2 linked regions of the Styela clava genome follow. The protein of the gene in region 1 binds, or shares a complex with, the protein of each later gene. Links are inferred from orthologs where the notes say so. Each region holds a gene or a part of one and is shown on either strand. Other genes may lie near its edges.

Evidence for each region. The genes of interacting proteins can lie anywhere in the genome.
Region 2: the proteins of phosphatidylinositol 4-kinase beta-like (region 1) and Golgi resident protein GCP60-like are in contact, whole or in part, in an NMR structure (PDB 2N73), measured with the Homo sapiens proteins. The link is inferred for Styela clava from reciprocal best matches to the Homo sapiens genes PI4KB and ACBD3. Residues at the interface, in NP_001317650.1 of Homo sapiens: Val37, Gly38, Val42, Ile43, Asp44, Pro45, Val47, Ala48, Gln49, Lys50, Ala51, Cys52, Glu54, Val55, Leu56, Val59, Lys60, His63; in NP_073572.2 of Homo sapiens: Gln245, Ile246, Ala249, Leu250, Gln253, Thr254, Gln257, Phe258, Tyr261, Gln265, Tyr266, Leu276, Leu280, Gln283, His284, Gln287, Tyr288, Gln291, Leu292, Val295.

The regions. Positions count from the first base shown.
Region 1 is NC_135250.1:14,274,389-14,282,505, forward strand, and holds the start of phosphatidylinositol 4-kinase beta-like, read right to left. Parts: upstream 3,015-8,117; 5' UTR 2,770-3,014; coding exon 2,011-2,769; intron 1,098-2,010; coding exon 907-1,097; intron 1-906. UniProt on the Homo sapiens protein: Phosphorylates phosphatidylinositol (PI) in the first committed step in the production of the second messenger inositol-1,4,5,-trisphosphate (PIP). May regulate Golgi disintegration/reorganization during mitosis, possibly via its phosphorylation.
Region 2 is NC_135250.1:774,294-781,716, forward strand, and holds the start of Golgi resident protein GCP60-like, read left to right. Parts: upstream 1-4,266; 5' UTR 4,267-4,320; coding exon 4,321-4,552; intron 4,553-4,917; coding exon 4,918-5,065; intron 5,066-5,828; coding exon 5,829-5,969; intron 5,970-7,155; coding exon 7,156-7,293; intron 7,294-7,423. UniProt on the Homo sapiens protein: Involved in the maintenance of Golgi structure by interacting with giantin, affecting protein transport between the endoplasmic reticulum and Golgi. Involved in hormone-induced steroid biosynthesis in testicular Leydig cells.

The DNA.
Region 1 (8,117 bases):
ACAAACATCCCTTCATACTAAATTACCATACAAAGAGCACCATGACTAAATATACAGTATATAACATACATGAGTGATTATCAACCTGTTCCGCGGAACACTGGTATTCTGTGAGAGACCTTCAGGTATTCCGTGTCAAATTGTCGTCCCCCCAATTTTTTTTCATATATTTTGGTATATTTTATGATAACAAAAAGAAATCCAAATCCGTCAAGCAGGTAAATTTAGTTTTTAAAAAGATTCTGTCACGTGTAATTAACGTTTCCCCAGGAACGGACTTCCTAGTTTATTTACGAAACAATGGCTAAACAGCAAAATGTTAACGAAAGTGAAAATTTAATCAGTCGCCTGAACACCATTTTCAAGAATGGTCCTGAACATTGACTCGTTTCTGTAATGTCAGGCATCATTGGTCAAATTCTACTACCATGTTTTCAGAATTTAGGTTTGAATCAAGCGGCCATTTTGTCTTATATTATAAAAAATTACCTAAAGCTAGGTCTCGCGTTGGAACTTTGTTTCAATTGAAGTACCGTAATAAAAAAAACAATTACGAAAAAGTTAGGATATATTACTGGATTAGGTTCAGTATTTTTAAGGGCTGTTTATATAATTAAGTAGGCCTACAAAATATTGATTTTGAAAATTTAAACAGTTCGAATTTGTTACGTCTTTCACGACTCTATTGGTCTTGTTGTAATTTCATTCCTATGCTAAAACTAATCGAGAATATTGGTTATTCAGATGGTTTTCACAAAATCAAAAATTTTCATTTGGTGTTCTGCGAAAAATTAATGATATAAAAGAGTTCCGCGGTTCGAAAGACACTTTGAGTCAGAGCTTCCAATTTCACTTAAGATAACTTTGCCCGATGGTAGGGCAATAATTCATCTCCTCATTAGTTACCTTGCAACAATGTATGGATGTATTGCTTCTCTCATATCATGATCCATATGAATATACATGACTAAAAGTTCGGGCAAGAAAAGATCAACTTTCTCTTCAGGAAATGTGAAGAGCTTATTCCCCAGGTAAGCAAGTACACCAGGTTCCTTGGACTTGAACAAATACTGAAGAGCAATCGACATGTCGAAAACCTGCAGTTTTAATTAATATATAGAAGTCAAGCCAGAGATATAACACATCCAAAAACACTGAGGCTTGCTGGTGTCAGTGGGTATTGGGCAGAGCTGGACTTCTGGACGGAAATCACATTGGCTCTGGAGCCAAAATAGATTAGAACTGTGGCTCCAGCTCATGCTGCAGAACTTCATTTTACATTACGCTGGCCCCCAACTTCGGATCAACAGCCAGTGAGTTTTTCCACACAACCACTATCAATGTGGGAGCGTGATTTAAAGATACACCGTACTATTAGGATTTCAAATTTTAAAATTGAACTTTAATTACACAAATTTGACTTGAAACTTTCGAATGTGAAAAAATAATTGGATGTTTAAGAGCTGGAGCCACTAAAATTTCTGTTAGCCCTGGCTCCAGCTCTATCTATTATGGTAATCTTGGCTCCAGCTGCAATATATATATATAATTTTCAATGACAACATATTTCACAAATAAAACAAATCAGAATAGATTACATTGTCACTAAATTGGTGTACTGAGTAATAAAATAATGTCCCAAAAAGATGTTTTTAAAGTTTAGGGGAAAGCATAATTCAATCGTGATCCTTTTTTTGTATCTATAAAACTTTTATAAGGTTTGACACTCCAACTTTGGATTCAACATTATACTACAAAATAAATCATGCCTGAATGGTTCAATTAACATCAAGTTAGGCTCTCTTCAAGTTATTCTCACCTAACATGAGATGGAAAGAAGCAAGAGAAAATAGGTCAAAAATTAGTTGTGAAACAATAAGAAGATGGTATCTAGAAAACTATTGTTGTATGATCAAACCCAGGTTGGCAGATAATAATTTCACATTAAGTAGTTTAGTTGATGGAGGTAATTAGCATTAATGATGACAACACTAGAATAGCAGTACATACCTGTGATTCAAAGAGGCGAAGCAACCATGATTGTTTAGATGTTGAATCAGGCTGGCGAACCTGAACTTTGTTTGGTGTAAAATTGACGACACCATTTTCCGAAGATTTACCCTTTTTTGGCTTTGATTCAGAATTTTTTAATTCTGATTTTGTTTGGCAAGATTTTGAGGTTGCATCTGTTTCTATCAAAGAAGGTAGAGACATAGGATTGGATGGTAGGCTATCACTCAATGAATTAGCTTTCTCTTTTTTTCGAGTTTTTGAATTAAAAAGATCAAGATTTAAATTGAGTTTACGAGGGTCCAGTTTACGCAAGGCTCTGCCAGGAGCATTTGTACATTGTGTCTTGTTGAGTGCAGTGACCTGTTGGCGTTCCACTAAAGTGGTTGGTAGCATAGTCCTTGCATTTTTAACAATTTCTGCATTAGCCAATGCTGCATTCATTGCTTTTTCACATATTTCCTTGTCATTTACAAAACTGATGCTGATTTGATTTGAGACATCTTGAAGTTCTGAACTATTTGAATTAGTACAAGAGCTCGTATCCATTGGTGTTAAACCATCATTATAGTAATCAATATCTCCATTATTGACTTGATCGACACATTGCACAGTTTTTTCCAAATTTTCAAATATCTCTTTTGACTCTACCTTTTCTGTTTGTTCGTTTTCAGAATCACTCGAACAATCACCATTCACAAGCGTATTGTATCCTTTTCCTGAAGTTTTCTTCGGTTGAATGGTAACAGCATTCATCATTCAGTATTTCAATTATGACGAATTTAGTTCAGAATAATGAAAGTCAAAGAAATACTTGTATTTATACAATACATTAAATTCAGTATTATCAATGAGTTTCATTCCAAAATTTTTTCAAGCTTAGTAAATTCATCATTTATTGCAGCCCAATTTTACATCTGTGTATTGATCACCAGATTACCGGACAATTCAGTACAATACAGTAGATTAGACATATTTTATTAAACCTTGAAAATAAAGTTATTTTTTTATCAGTAAGCGATTGTATACATAATTGTTTTGAATTGTTGTATATATAGGAATATAGGGGTATGCAATTATATAGTCTATAAAACCATCTGCTTATGAAACAGGATAGATGTTTGATTGGGTCACCGTCAAAACTTTAACTGCAACTTAAATGACAAGTATCAATTATATTAGGTTGGTTGGCGATGCTAACCCAACATTTTTTAGGTCTGGTATAGTTTAGTACCACATGCACTTCTAGTTGGCCTGGCTCAAAAATTTTTGCATATGTCATTCCTGACCACCACCTGACTATGTCACCCAAAAATTATGTCACTACGACGCCACAGTGGCATAATAAATACCTCCAAAGTGTATGGATGGTCGTCCAAAACGCGCAGACGTTCACTCGAAATCGAGCAAGCTATTTCTCTCGTTTTTTTGTCGCAACAACCCTGATATGAGAGAGACCTCTGGCATTAGTGTGTTCGGTGGCGCAGATGCCATTTTTGACTATGCTAGCTATACTTGGCATTTTGGCAAGCTCTATGACGTGTCTGTGACATAATTTTTGAATGACATAGTCAGGTGGTGGTTAGGAATAACATATACAAAATTTGTTATGCTACGCCCACCGGAAGTAGGCTACTTGTGGTACTAAACTAGACTTAACCCCACTTTTCACACTATAGGTCTGACATGGGCAAACTATGGCCCGCGGGTCAAATACGGTCCGATGAGTAGTTCAATCTATGTATTTTGTGGTGTCTGAAGCTGCCGCAAAACCATGCAAGGATTTCCAAACTATGGCCGCTATGGTCGAAGCACGGTGGCAGACTTTTTAGATGCCACTGCCACTATGGCGTGAGGCAGGCACCACGGCAACAAATTGAAAACCAATGGCGGGTAAAATTTTGCTGCCACAAACCAAGGCATGTTGGCTGTAATGACAGGGCTGCCCCTATTGCTGTATTGTCTGATTGTGGAAAATTTTGGGTAAGTCTGTAAGTTGTAACCTTTTCCTTGTGGATACAGTTTTGATGGATTTGGGGTTAGGTTTCAGTAGATATAATTCGCATGATAAACTAAAATCTGGTACATGACTTTGTGAATATACCGGTAATAGCACCATAAACTATGGCAAGAGATGCTGCGGTTCGTTCGTGGCAGGACCGGCTATAAAGTGGTAAGAACTGCGCCTCTGAGACTGCCACAACCCAACTAAAATCAAATTTTGATGTTTAGCTGAAAAATTCCTCAAGAAATTTGTTGCGATTGCGATTAAATTTAATTTTGGCCGTGGCTCATTGTTTTGCGCATTTAGTTTTGTAACACTGTAAATATTATTTGTAAAATGTAACTTTTTACATCACACTAACATCTACATGGCCCAAATAGTGCATGATTGCCACCAGGTAAACTCATGTTGATAATAAATGAAGCACAACCGGTGTCAGCAAATCGATCTTAAATTCAGATTTGAATCAGTCGAGTACCGGTATCATTTTACTTACTACTATACTACCTACCTACTGGCAAATTACATCGTTTTGCTAACACCGGTTGTGCTTCATTTATTATCAACATCATGGCCCGTCAGTCAAGGTGGCAAAATTTTTGGCCCCTGGTCCAACCCTGCTGTAGATAGTCTATAATAGGGATGGCAAACCACTGACCCATCGTGTTTTTTCGGTGACCCACCAAGTAACAAATTAGTACATAAAATATATCCATGATAGAAATTGATCAAAAAAACAGCTCCAGGCAGCCAGGGTTTCAGACGTGCATGGAAACCGATTAAAAAATATCATTTCTGCAGAGTGGAATTCCCCCCAAAACCTTTTTTAAACGATTAAAAAACTTGCTGTACCGTAGTATCATAAACGTTATTCGAAAATCTGTACCGGTACCGGTATGCCTGCAAAACCGTTACCGGTACGGTAGAACATTAGGGTATCGTGTAGTTTCGTACCTCATCAAGTACTTCTATAGTGGGCGTAGCATACCGGTAACGATTTTTGCATATGTCAACCCTGACATCCCCCAACCTAACTACGCCATACAAAAATTACGTCATAGAGGTTGGCAAAGTATAACTACAGAACTACGATCGCTTAAATGGCATCTGCGCCGACGATAAAGAACTCACTGGCGGCAGCGATCTCTGTGCGACGAGAAAACGAGAGAAATACCTTGCTCGATTTCCCTGGATCAACAGTTCGTATAGTTTGAAGGACTTTATTACGTCACTGTGACGCCTAAAAAAACCGAGTGTACAATACTCTGATACAGGCAAAATTATGATAATTACAGGATTAGACTACCGGTATACAATGCGAATTCAATAAGCCGTATGATAAAATAAAATCTTAAATTCAGATTTGAATCAGTCAAGTATCATTTTACTTACTACTGTACTACCTACAGTCTGTCTGTACCAACGACTAACATACAGTCTGTACCAACGACTAACATACTGTCTGTACTGACATATCTGTGGGCTACCATGTTCAAGGACGGAGAATTGTGGAATCGCTCCACTTTCTTTGCCAGGCGTCGCAGCTACAGTGCCCAGCCCATGTGTTCATGTTTTTTTCTACATCTAAGATATTCCAACTCAAAGAGTGAAACACTTGTCGTGGTGCATTAGCTCAGCTGACATCAGTCCGCGATGAGTGGGAAAGCTATCGACTGTGGCTCACCCAGTCGGCACGGTACACGGACAACGTCACCTGCTGAACACGCAGAAGATTCACCAATAGTTCCCAAAAGCAAATCTTCGATGTCAATAGAGATATATTAGCGCAGTGGTTCCCAACCGATGGGAAATTTCCCACTAGTGGGAAATTTGGAGGTTGCAGGTGGGGAATAGAATGCCCCTCTAAAAATGTACGCACAACAACACAATTATTGAATATTACATAATGAAAAACACAATATATGTCATGAAGCGGAAAATGATTCCCATTCAATTAATCGAAACTTTAGTAAAATATCACGTTGTTGGCCATGATTTTTTGATCATGCTACGTAACTCATTTTGATCGTTGGTCGGCCGATAACAACCTCACAGACATGTCTCGAACAAGCACCAATGTTAAATGTTACGCAAGAAGAATTTCGTTGCAGAGCCGCAAACGAGAAAGTTTTTATTCAAATGTCTCGAAATATTGGGTAGGCACGCGCTCTGATGAACAAATATTTAACCGTCCCTCTATTCTGCTAAATTGTTTAAAAAAAAAGGTAATGGCTTATGTAAAAACAAGAGAGCTATGCTCAAATATATGGACACGTAGAGTCACATAATTTTGATGACGTCATAGCGAAAAAAAAAGTAATAGCCTTCTGGAGAAAATTTTTACCTTTAACCACTGAAAATTTCAAAGCAATTGGTCCAGTATTCGAAGAGAAAAGACATAGATGGAACTTTGTCTGTGATGATATTCTGCCGAGTAAGTCTGCGCCGCATTTTTGTAATTTAACCCTTGAATTGTTCTATTCGATGGATAACGCTGATTTTCTTTACACGGATCGTCACTGTCTTGGGATGCTGGACGGTGCAATGAATGTTCTCACGGTGGTTCAACTTTTACACCAATTGTAAGCCTTTCTTATAGAACAGTGGTTCTTAAACTTTTTTGAGCGCGACCCAAATCTGAGTTTCACGAATACTCGCGACCCAATCCTAAATAACGCAAAATGTGTTTTTAATGTTAGTACAGTTTGACTCAAATACAGACAACTATTTATTAGAAACAGTCCATTGACTCAATGAGATTGATGAAACTGAAATTTTCTTTTCATTATATATTCAATACACAGCTCTATTTTACTGAGCGCAATACGCAAGTTGTCACGGGAATCGATGCGATTGCGAGCTTAGTTTTAATAACCGTCAGTGCCAAAAATCCTCGCTCGAACAAGTGCCTTGTCGCGAATTGTAGCAGAGTCTGTCACAAACACGACATCCTAGCTGGCTTTTGATATCTCTCGCAATATACAACTTTTTACTCATCAAATGTGCACACACTGCTTCGTTCGTGGTAAATGGTGACTCGAGATGAAGTCACATTTTCTCTAGATATTGAATAATTTAATGTTGAGATGCGAGCTTTTTCATTGCGTTGTCTATTACAATTTACATTACCAAAAAGACACCCGTTTTTAGTTATTTTAATCCACTAAGACGATATTTCGCGAGGTCAACACAACAACAAGCGACGTGCATGGCTACCGATGCCATAAAATAATACACGTGACTGGCATATCAGAATTGTGATGTAACAATGAGCTCAAGACAGTTCTTTCCGTGAATGAAACTTTATATATTCCATTATTTTTAAATACCAGAGTTTAGAAGCTAAATTGAAACATTGGGAAAGCTGAAAATTCGTCCTTTTCCTCTTAGATTGCCCTTGCATTGACGACCTTGTCGCGAGCCACTTTTAAACTTTCCGCGACCCATGTTTGGGTCGCGACCCATACTTTAAGAACCACTGTTATAGAAAGTCCTACCAATTAATATTGACAGGAAAATTATTGTTTTTAAGTGAGTCCATATGTAGTGGGAAATAAAAACTCAGCCTAAATCGGAAGTGGGAAATTGAGATAAAAAGGTTGGGAACCCCTGTATTAGCGGGACCAATTGAAGCCTCTCTCGTTTTGGCGATAGACTTCCTACTTTTGCGTAGCGCGCAATGCATTTCTTAGATAGATAAGATAAGTTTATTTCAACTCCATAATCAGCAGAAAGGCGATAAAACGGTTGATAAAAACAAATAAATAAAAACTGATTAGGAAATCAGGAGAGTAAACAAAACCTTGGATAAGGTTTAAAACGTACAGAATATATTGTTCTTATGTGATGTGACAGAAAGCAATCATTTGCGTCATTATTTTCGCCTAATCTTGAATTGTTTATTATTAAATATGATACGCTAATAGATCACAGTCCACTATGCCGTGCTTAATTTATCTTTTTCTTTTAAATTTGCGTAAGTCGTGGATTAATAATATGGCCAACGTATCAGCCAAAAGCGAACATTAAAGATCACATAACATTATCCAAGGTGGCTTATCGGAATCGCCTTTCTATTTAGCCTACCTGTACTCGGCCATAT
Region 2 (7,423 bases), about 14 Mb from region 1:
ATGGATAAGTCGTCTTATCGGCTTTCCTTTCCCCCGGGATAAATATGTAAAGTCTTATCCTTATTCTCATTATCCTAATAAATACATAAATAACCGCACCCCACTGGGCGATTGGTTCATATTCTGTACTGTAGCTACGTTTTCTGTCTAATAGATATGCATTCCCAATAAGAATATGCTCATAGTTGTATGCTTTCAGCGTACCATACTTCGAAACCCAAAACCAAATATGTATTGAAGAATTAAAGACCTCAATACGGCCAATTTCGCACCCGACTCAGCTGAAGCAAGGGATTTTGGCAGCGAGCAATGCGTTTTCTTAATATGCAACGAACCATTTAGCCGGACGACGTAAAAAATGCAGGGAACAATACCAAAATGAGCAAATCTTTGCAAGTTTCCACTCATTGTATATATGCTCATTGAATTGAGTTATCTCTTTTCTTTTTTGAATGTTAGTTCGTAATCCCTAATCTTCGCCTTGGGTCAAAGACCAACCACAAGCTCGGCGAATTTGCTGTAGCTAATTCAGAGTACGTGTCTTGAAAACTTGTGCGGGATCTCTGGGTTTGCTTGTTTTAGACTTTGAGGAATCAGAATTATATATACAGTATTAATTCCACAAAGATGACGTATATTGGCTGATGAAACAGCCTTATTATATTGTTAGACGCTTATCTCGTTGTCCTACGAGTCCGTAGCCGGGCGGACCTTCAAGAGTTACGGTACCGGTGCCAAGGCAGGACCGTCAACCTGGACTGGTGTTTCGGTGGCGGTACGACACCAGTATAGGTTCAGGCGGTAGGCTTAGGTAAAACACCAAGCCACGGGCATATAGGATAGGATTTTCATAATTATCCTGGTGGAGAGTGAAGTCGATTAGACTGATTAATCATATGGCATGTATGGGGAAACACAGCCTAACCGTAAACGCAGGTAACTTCGGATGGTTTGTAACTTAGGATGAAATTTTCAGTCGTTTATATCTTGACTAAATTACGTCATATTTTGCTTCTGGCAGTTTCTATAGAGAGTCCTTATATATCTAAATCTGTTATCATTTTCAATCGCCTAATCTTATTTATTTTTTGACACAAAAAATCACATTTTAGCCAAAAATTGACACCTTGCAGCCTTGTTTTTGAGCGGCTAACATAGCGACTTCTGCCGACGCTAACTTCACTAAAAGACCGTCAATCGCTAGAGGGCATACACAATGTACAAGGAAAATTACAGTGATCACGAGATGTCGCGTGCGATTCAAGTAAAATATATTATTTTGATTTGAAAATTTCGTCAAAATATCGACGTTACGATGCTTACACTGAACGTGACGTCAACAACGTGATTCAATTTCGCTCCATCTAACGCCGACGTCACATTGCGTAGCTCGTGCGTAACTCGCTGCGACATTTGAACGCCAGACTATGTGGCGCCACGTGTAGTTAAATATAAAGTGAAAGCTCCTACCTGATCCTAGTCCTGTAGTCACCAAATCCTACAAAAACTTCATTATAGCCCCAGTCATCTGCTGTTTATTCATTGTGAATCCGTTTAAAGCACATCAAATTTGTGCGTCAATATTTTTGCATTCATTCTCCGAACGTATAGATGTTGTTGATACGTAAGGCTAATGAACAGCCAGTTACGCGTTTCTATACTATCACAATGATAAAGTATGTATGTTTACGATGATAATATCTTAAGCGTAGAATGTTGCACAGGTGAGCATGAAACTCAGGTGCACTCAGTAGCAGGTTGGACCACATACGAGTAAGTCGCTAAATGAAGAAAAGAGTATCAAAGTTTCTATTTGGCGTTTTATCCGTTTCATGTCATTTGACTTTGTCTATCTGCCTGTGAATACATTATATCTGAATTATGAACACGAGCCACAAGCTCCACCGTTCCGTATTGTTTTCCATTTCCACTGCCATTTTTTACTACCTATCGTAATTCATCATTCGTTTTTTTATTATTTTCATTCGTTTCATTTTTGTTTCGTATTAAAAATTGTTTTCCACTTCCATTTTTACGACTTAGTTTATGCGTCCGTTTTTTTATTTTCATTTGTCCCATGTTGTCTAATTTTTGTTTTGTATTAAAATGATCATATTAGCAAAATCTAGCACTTTCATGAAATTAAGAATAGTCAGAAGTAAATGGTTTAGTTTTGCGAAATGTCAGAAATAGCGATGGGCAAAATAATCATAAATTATTACATGCGTTGTATTTTGAAGCATTTTAGCGGTAATAATTATGGCGTGACACTGTCAAAATCGGCGGGTAAAGTGCTGAGTTCGCAAATTCCGTAGATAAAATTGTGAGTTAGTCGGTAACGATTTTAGCTATAATAACCGTCGGGTTATTGTTTTGTCCAAAAAAAATACGTTAAAACCTGAGGGAAATAGTTATATATATTTAGCGTCCGACCCGCTATTAGGACCAAAAGCCTTATGACAAGTATAAATGCATAACGACCGATTTATTCAATTATTATAATAAATAAAAATTCAGGATTCGTGCAATCGCAGGTGCAAAGCATAAGAACGTCAATCATCGTCTTAATAAACATCTCCATCCCGGTGTCGATAATAATATCATCGTTCTCTTTAAACTCGAACGATTAATAATATACAAACAGTGATAAGATCAAAGCCAACACATACGATAAAAATCAGAATAAAATTAATTTGGGTTTTGAAATCAGTCCTTCTTGTCTTCAAGAGCTGTTGCCGATGTAAACGCACGGGTATACCAGATCAATGACATTAAGCATGCTGCTAATGTCATTGACCAGATATATAAAACTTCAATACCCGCCGACCCGAAAGAATTAACAATCGGGAAAAAATAAAACGGCCGTCATAGATGAACGTCAGTGTGCGACACGCAAAACGGATCACGGCATCGTAAGTTCTACGCAGCGACGTTATCACGCGTCACTGATCACGCAGACATTTCTCTCTCACGACGAAGTGACGCAAAGCGAAAAGTGGGCATCCGAAGTTAGAAACATTGGGAATACAGATCTGCAGACAAATAAAGTCAATAATTTGATTGAAAAAAGGTATTGACTGATATGAAACCGAGTTTATCGTGAAGAGAAAGGCTTCATTGTATTATATTCCAATTTTGGCTTCAATTGAACAATAAACGGCGGAGAAATTGTTCATAATATAGTGAAATCATCCGAAGTTACCTGCTTTTACGGTATGCTACCATAAAACCGTTGGCTTAGCTTTTTGACTGTTCAAGTCAGTAAGTTCAATATCAAGTTTACAGCAATCCTTTTGGCTGTTTGGGTATGTCAGTTTCATTTTGTTAAGGATATTAATATAAAATTCGACTGCTATCCAAGTACCCCTGGTCCAGGTTGAGAACCCCTGGTCTAAAGAATAAAGGCAAAAGGTCAAATCTTCTTCTTCTATCTCTGCCTGGTTTTACTTCGAAAGGCTGAAAAAATTACAGAGCTGCTGGTCTGCAGCTCATGAAATTGCGACAAGTACTTCTATCTCCAATAGACGTAACATTAAAGGCAAACACTGAGTAATGGAAAGTAAACGACATAGAATGGTAGAATTAATGAATTGAATTGATGGATATACACAGCCTTTAAATTGAGAAACAATAAAGCATTTATAATAAATGCAATATGTAAAATATTCAATCATACTACAGTACTTTAGGTATGTTTACCACAATTCTGTTAGTTTTCGCGGCGCATTTGGCAACTCGCCACGATTGGGAACCGCTACATTACACAATTTTTCTATATCAATTTTACAGTTCATTTTTTGGTGTTTTGTGAGGCGAGATAAAAAGTGTACGTGTTCCGTGGCCGAAAAATATTGAGAAACGCTTGTGTAGAAAACCGTAATCAACCAGCAGTTACATGAAGATTATGGCAATCCTGCAATCCTCTCACACATATTTTCTGTCAATATATCCATCTCACAGTCTCAGGATTCCTAAACACAGCTCAATGCACCTACTGTCGAGCCTTTAGTGGTAGACTACAAGGTAGCGGCCATGTTCACAACTCGCTGCTGCATTCTGTGTCAATCATCGTTAGTCCATACATTATCAACAGGTGAGACAACCTGTGGTACTGTAGTATTTCCTGTTGGCCCTTCTCATAATTGCACGTTTCGTTCGGATTACCTGGTACCCATCATATTATTTTAAAATGGAGCGGCGATTGGTGAACTTGCGCCCATGGTAGTACCGATTTTTGATCTGCAAACCATACTGCAATATATTTCTTCTTTAGCATAATAATCACTCAATAAATTCTTCGATCAAATTTAGAACTAAGCCATGGCAGAGGCGATGCCTGCTGCAGTCGCTGTAAATAATATTGCACAACAAATGAATAATGTGTCGCTCACGGAGGGTCATACAGAGGTCAAAGGTGAAGTTGCGGACCAAGTTACACCACCAACAGGAAATACTACAGCAAGTTATGCATCAACGGATACACAAGATGAAGAATCATACTGGGGGTTTTCGTTACACGAAGCATATAAAAAGGCAATCAAATTTTATAAAGGTGATATTTCATAATTTTGTTAGACTTCTAGTTTTTTTTATTTATTTTTTCAGCATTCGCTCAAAGCAAGATTAAATGAACTCATTCTGAAGTAAAATATGGGCACTCACTCAGAAGTAAAGCAGACTCATCTCTAAGCAAAGTTACGCTCACTCACTCAAAAGTAAAGGAGACTCATCTCTGAGCAAAGTTACAGGCACTCACTCAGATTTGATGAAAATCATCTCTGAGCAAAGCTACGAGCACTCATGGCAGCGTTATATTTCCAAATTATTCGAGCCAAATTATGAGTTTTCTGATTCTAAAGACGGCTATTTTTTAATATAGAAAAACTGCAATATCGCAAATTATATTAATTTTCCCAGAAAACGAAGGCAAACGAACGTTTGACATGAGCTACGAAGACAAAGTATATCTCGCCGCATTAACTAAGCAAGCAACACTCGGACCTTTCGCACAACAAACACAACTGCCTGAAGTCGGATATTTAGATATGTTTGGAAATGATCGAAGGTTGGTTTTACACTAGATTTTTTAATTACCGTATATCCTCATTCCTCGCATATAAGCCGACCCGACAAATCGTGACTTGCCGAACGGGTTGTAGCTGATGGAATTAAGTTAGCATAATGCCATCTTGTTTGAGTGCGATCAGAGATATGCGCAATAAGTCAAATTTCTTCATATATTATTCTAATATTAACATTTGTATTGAATTGCTATAAATATACTTGGCTCAGCTCTAACTTAGGGCAGACAAAAATTTCTGTTAGTGTCCACGCTCGTTTTGTAAATATAACACGGTTTCACGAATTAGGTGCATTCCGGTTGTTATGATTTTTCAAGATCGTCACTGAGTAAAAGGCAATAAAATCGTGAAAACAGCTATGAAGCCGGGGATTCCACATAACTGAAGTCTTTGGAAAAACTTTTGCCATAAAAATTCTACATCTAAGCTGCGCTGCAATACAATCTCCGGGGCTCCCGAAGTATGCGAACCAAGATGGCGGACATCGGAATATAATATGTGTACTAGGTTAGGGTTAGGTCATAATTTTAGGTATAAATACTACGGGAGGCTCTTGGCTAGTCTTCGAACTGATAATAGGACTAAAATAAGGAAAACTGGAAAGAAATTATCGCCTAACCCTAACCTGTTACCCATGTTACGTTCCGATGTCCGCCATCTTGGTTCGCATACTTCGGGAGCACCCAATCTCCTTTTCGGAGATTCCTGTGTTTACTTGAAAATAATTATTTAAATTCTACTTTTCAGGAGAGTTTGGGAATCCTTGGAAGACATTTCCTCAAACGATGCTCGTAGGAATTTTATAAAACATCTTCAAGATTTAGCGCCGGTTTTTGTTCCTTTTATGACAGCCCATCAAAAACAAAAGGAGGAAGAAGAGAGAAAACGGTAAAGTTCATTTTTCACAACATTTTATTTTTCACGAATATTCTCGCATATATATCCAACCTTATTAAAACGCTTTTAAAACGGTGAATTTATGAAGATCAGCCCTGTCCCCTTTTCATAGACTCTCAAACTCATGGCCCCATTCTTATATAATCAATATTGGTACTCATGTAATATGTGAACCAAGATGGTGGATACCGGAACGTAGTATGTGTACCAGGTTAGGGTTAGGCCATAATTTCAGGTACAAATACTACGGGAAGTCACTTGGCTAGTCCCGGAACGGGGCTCCCGAAGTATGCGAACCAAGATGGCGGACATCGGAATGTAATATGTGTACTAGGTTTTGGGTTAGGCCATAATTTTAGCTATAAATACTACGGGAGGCTCTTGGCTAGTCTTCGAACTGATAATAGGACTAAAATAAGGAAAATTGGAAAAAAATTATCGCCTAACCCTAACCTGTTACCCATGTTACGTTCCGATGTCCGCCATCTTGGTTCGCATACTTCGGGAGTACCCCCCGAACTCATAATAGAACTAAGATAAGGAAAATTAGGATAAAATTATGTCCTAACTTGTAACCTGGTACACATACTTACGAGACGGAAAAAACAAATCATTGCACTAACCATTTCAAAGATTGCAACTTGCATGAATACTTGCCTCCTAGTTTCAGCGCTTCTGGAATATTTCACAAATTATTTGAAATTATATAATGGGAGTAGGACATTGTTTTAATCGAATATCTCCATCTCAAAATGAGAGCACAAAATTATCATTTTCTGGAAAATTCAATGCATAAATTTTCTCCTAAAGGAGCCTCTTAATGGAGGCCAGGGTTGAATTTTGTCCAGCTTCGAAAAAAAAGCATTTTCCACGGCTGGAGCTAACAGAGGGATGCGTTTTCTTTGCTGGAATTTGGGTCATGTGTTTTGTTTAGTGACATGTCCAGTATACAGCGTTATGATTGGCTTCTTTTGTAAGTCCACATGTGTGTGAGGCATCCATGTTTAGGCCAGCACACCATAAATTGATAGTCATATAAAAACTGGTAAGTTCTTGATTCTGTTTTCTTTTCTGAAAAGTTACAAACAACCATTGAAATGCCAAGGTCAACTGAAACTATAATTTTTCCCGCCTCCCATGTTTGCTCAGCCTTTTTTACAATTAATTTGTTTTTTAGGCTCGAAGAAGAGAGAATTCGTCAAGAAGAGGAGGAAAGCAAAAGGAGAGAATTAGAAGAAGCTCAAAAGAAAGAAGAGCAAATGAGAGAAGCAGAGAGAGTTCGACAGGAACAGGAGAGAATACAAATTGAGCAGAAGTATGGGAATCTTTTCACAATTAAATTTGTTTCTTAAAAGTATGGGTGTTAGGTTTTATTAGCTTTTGAATTGTAAATTATGGGAATTGCAATATTGCAGATATTAGAATTATTTGCTATTCTTTCAAAA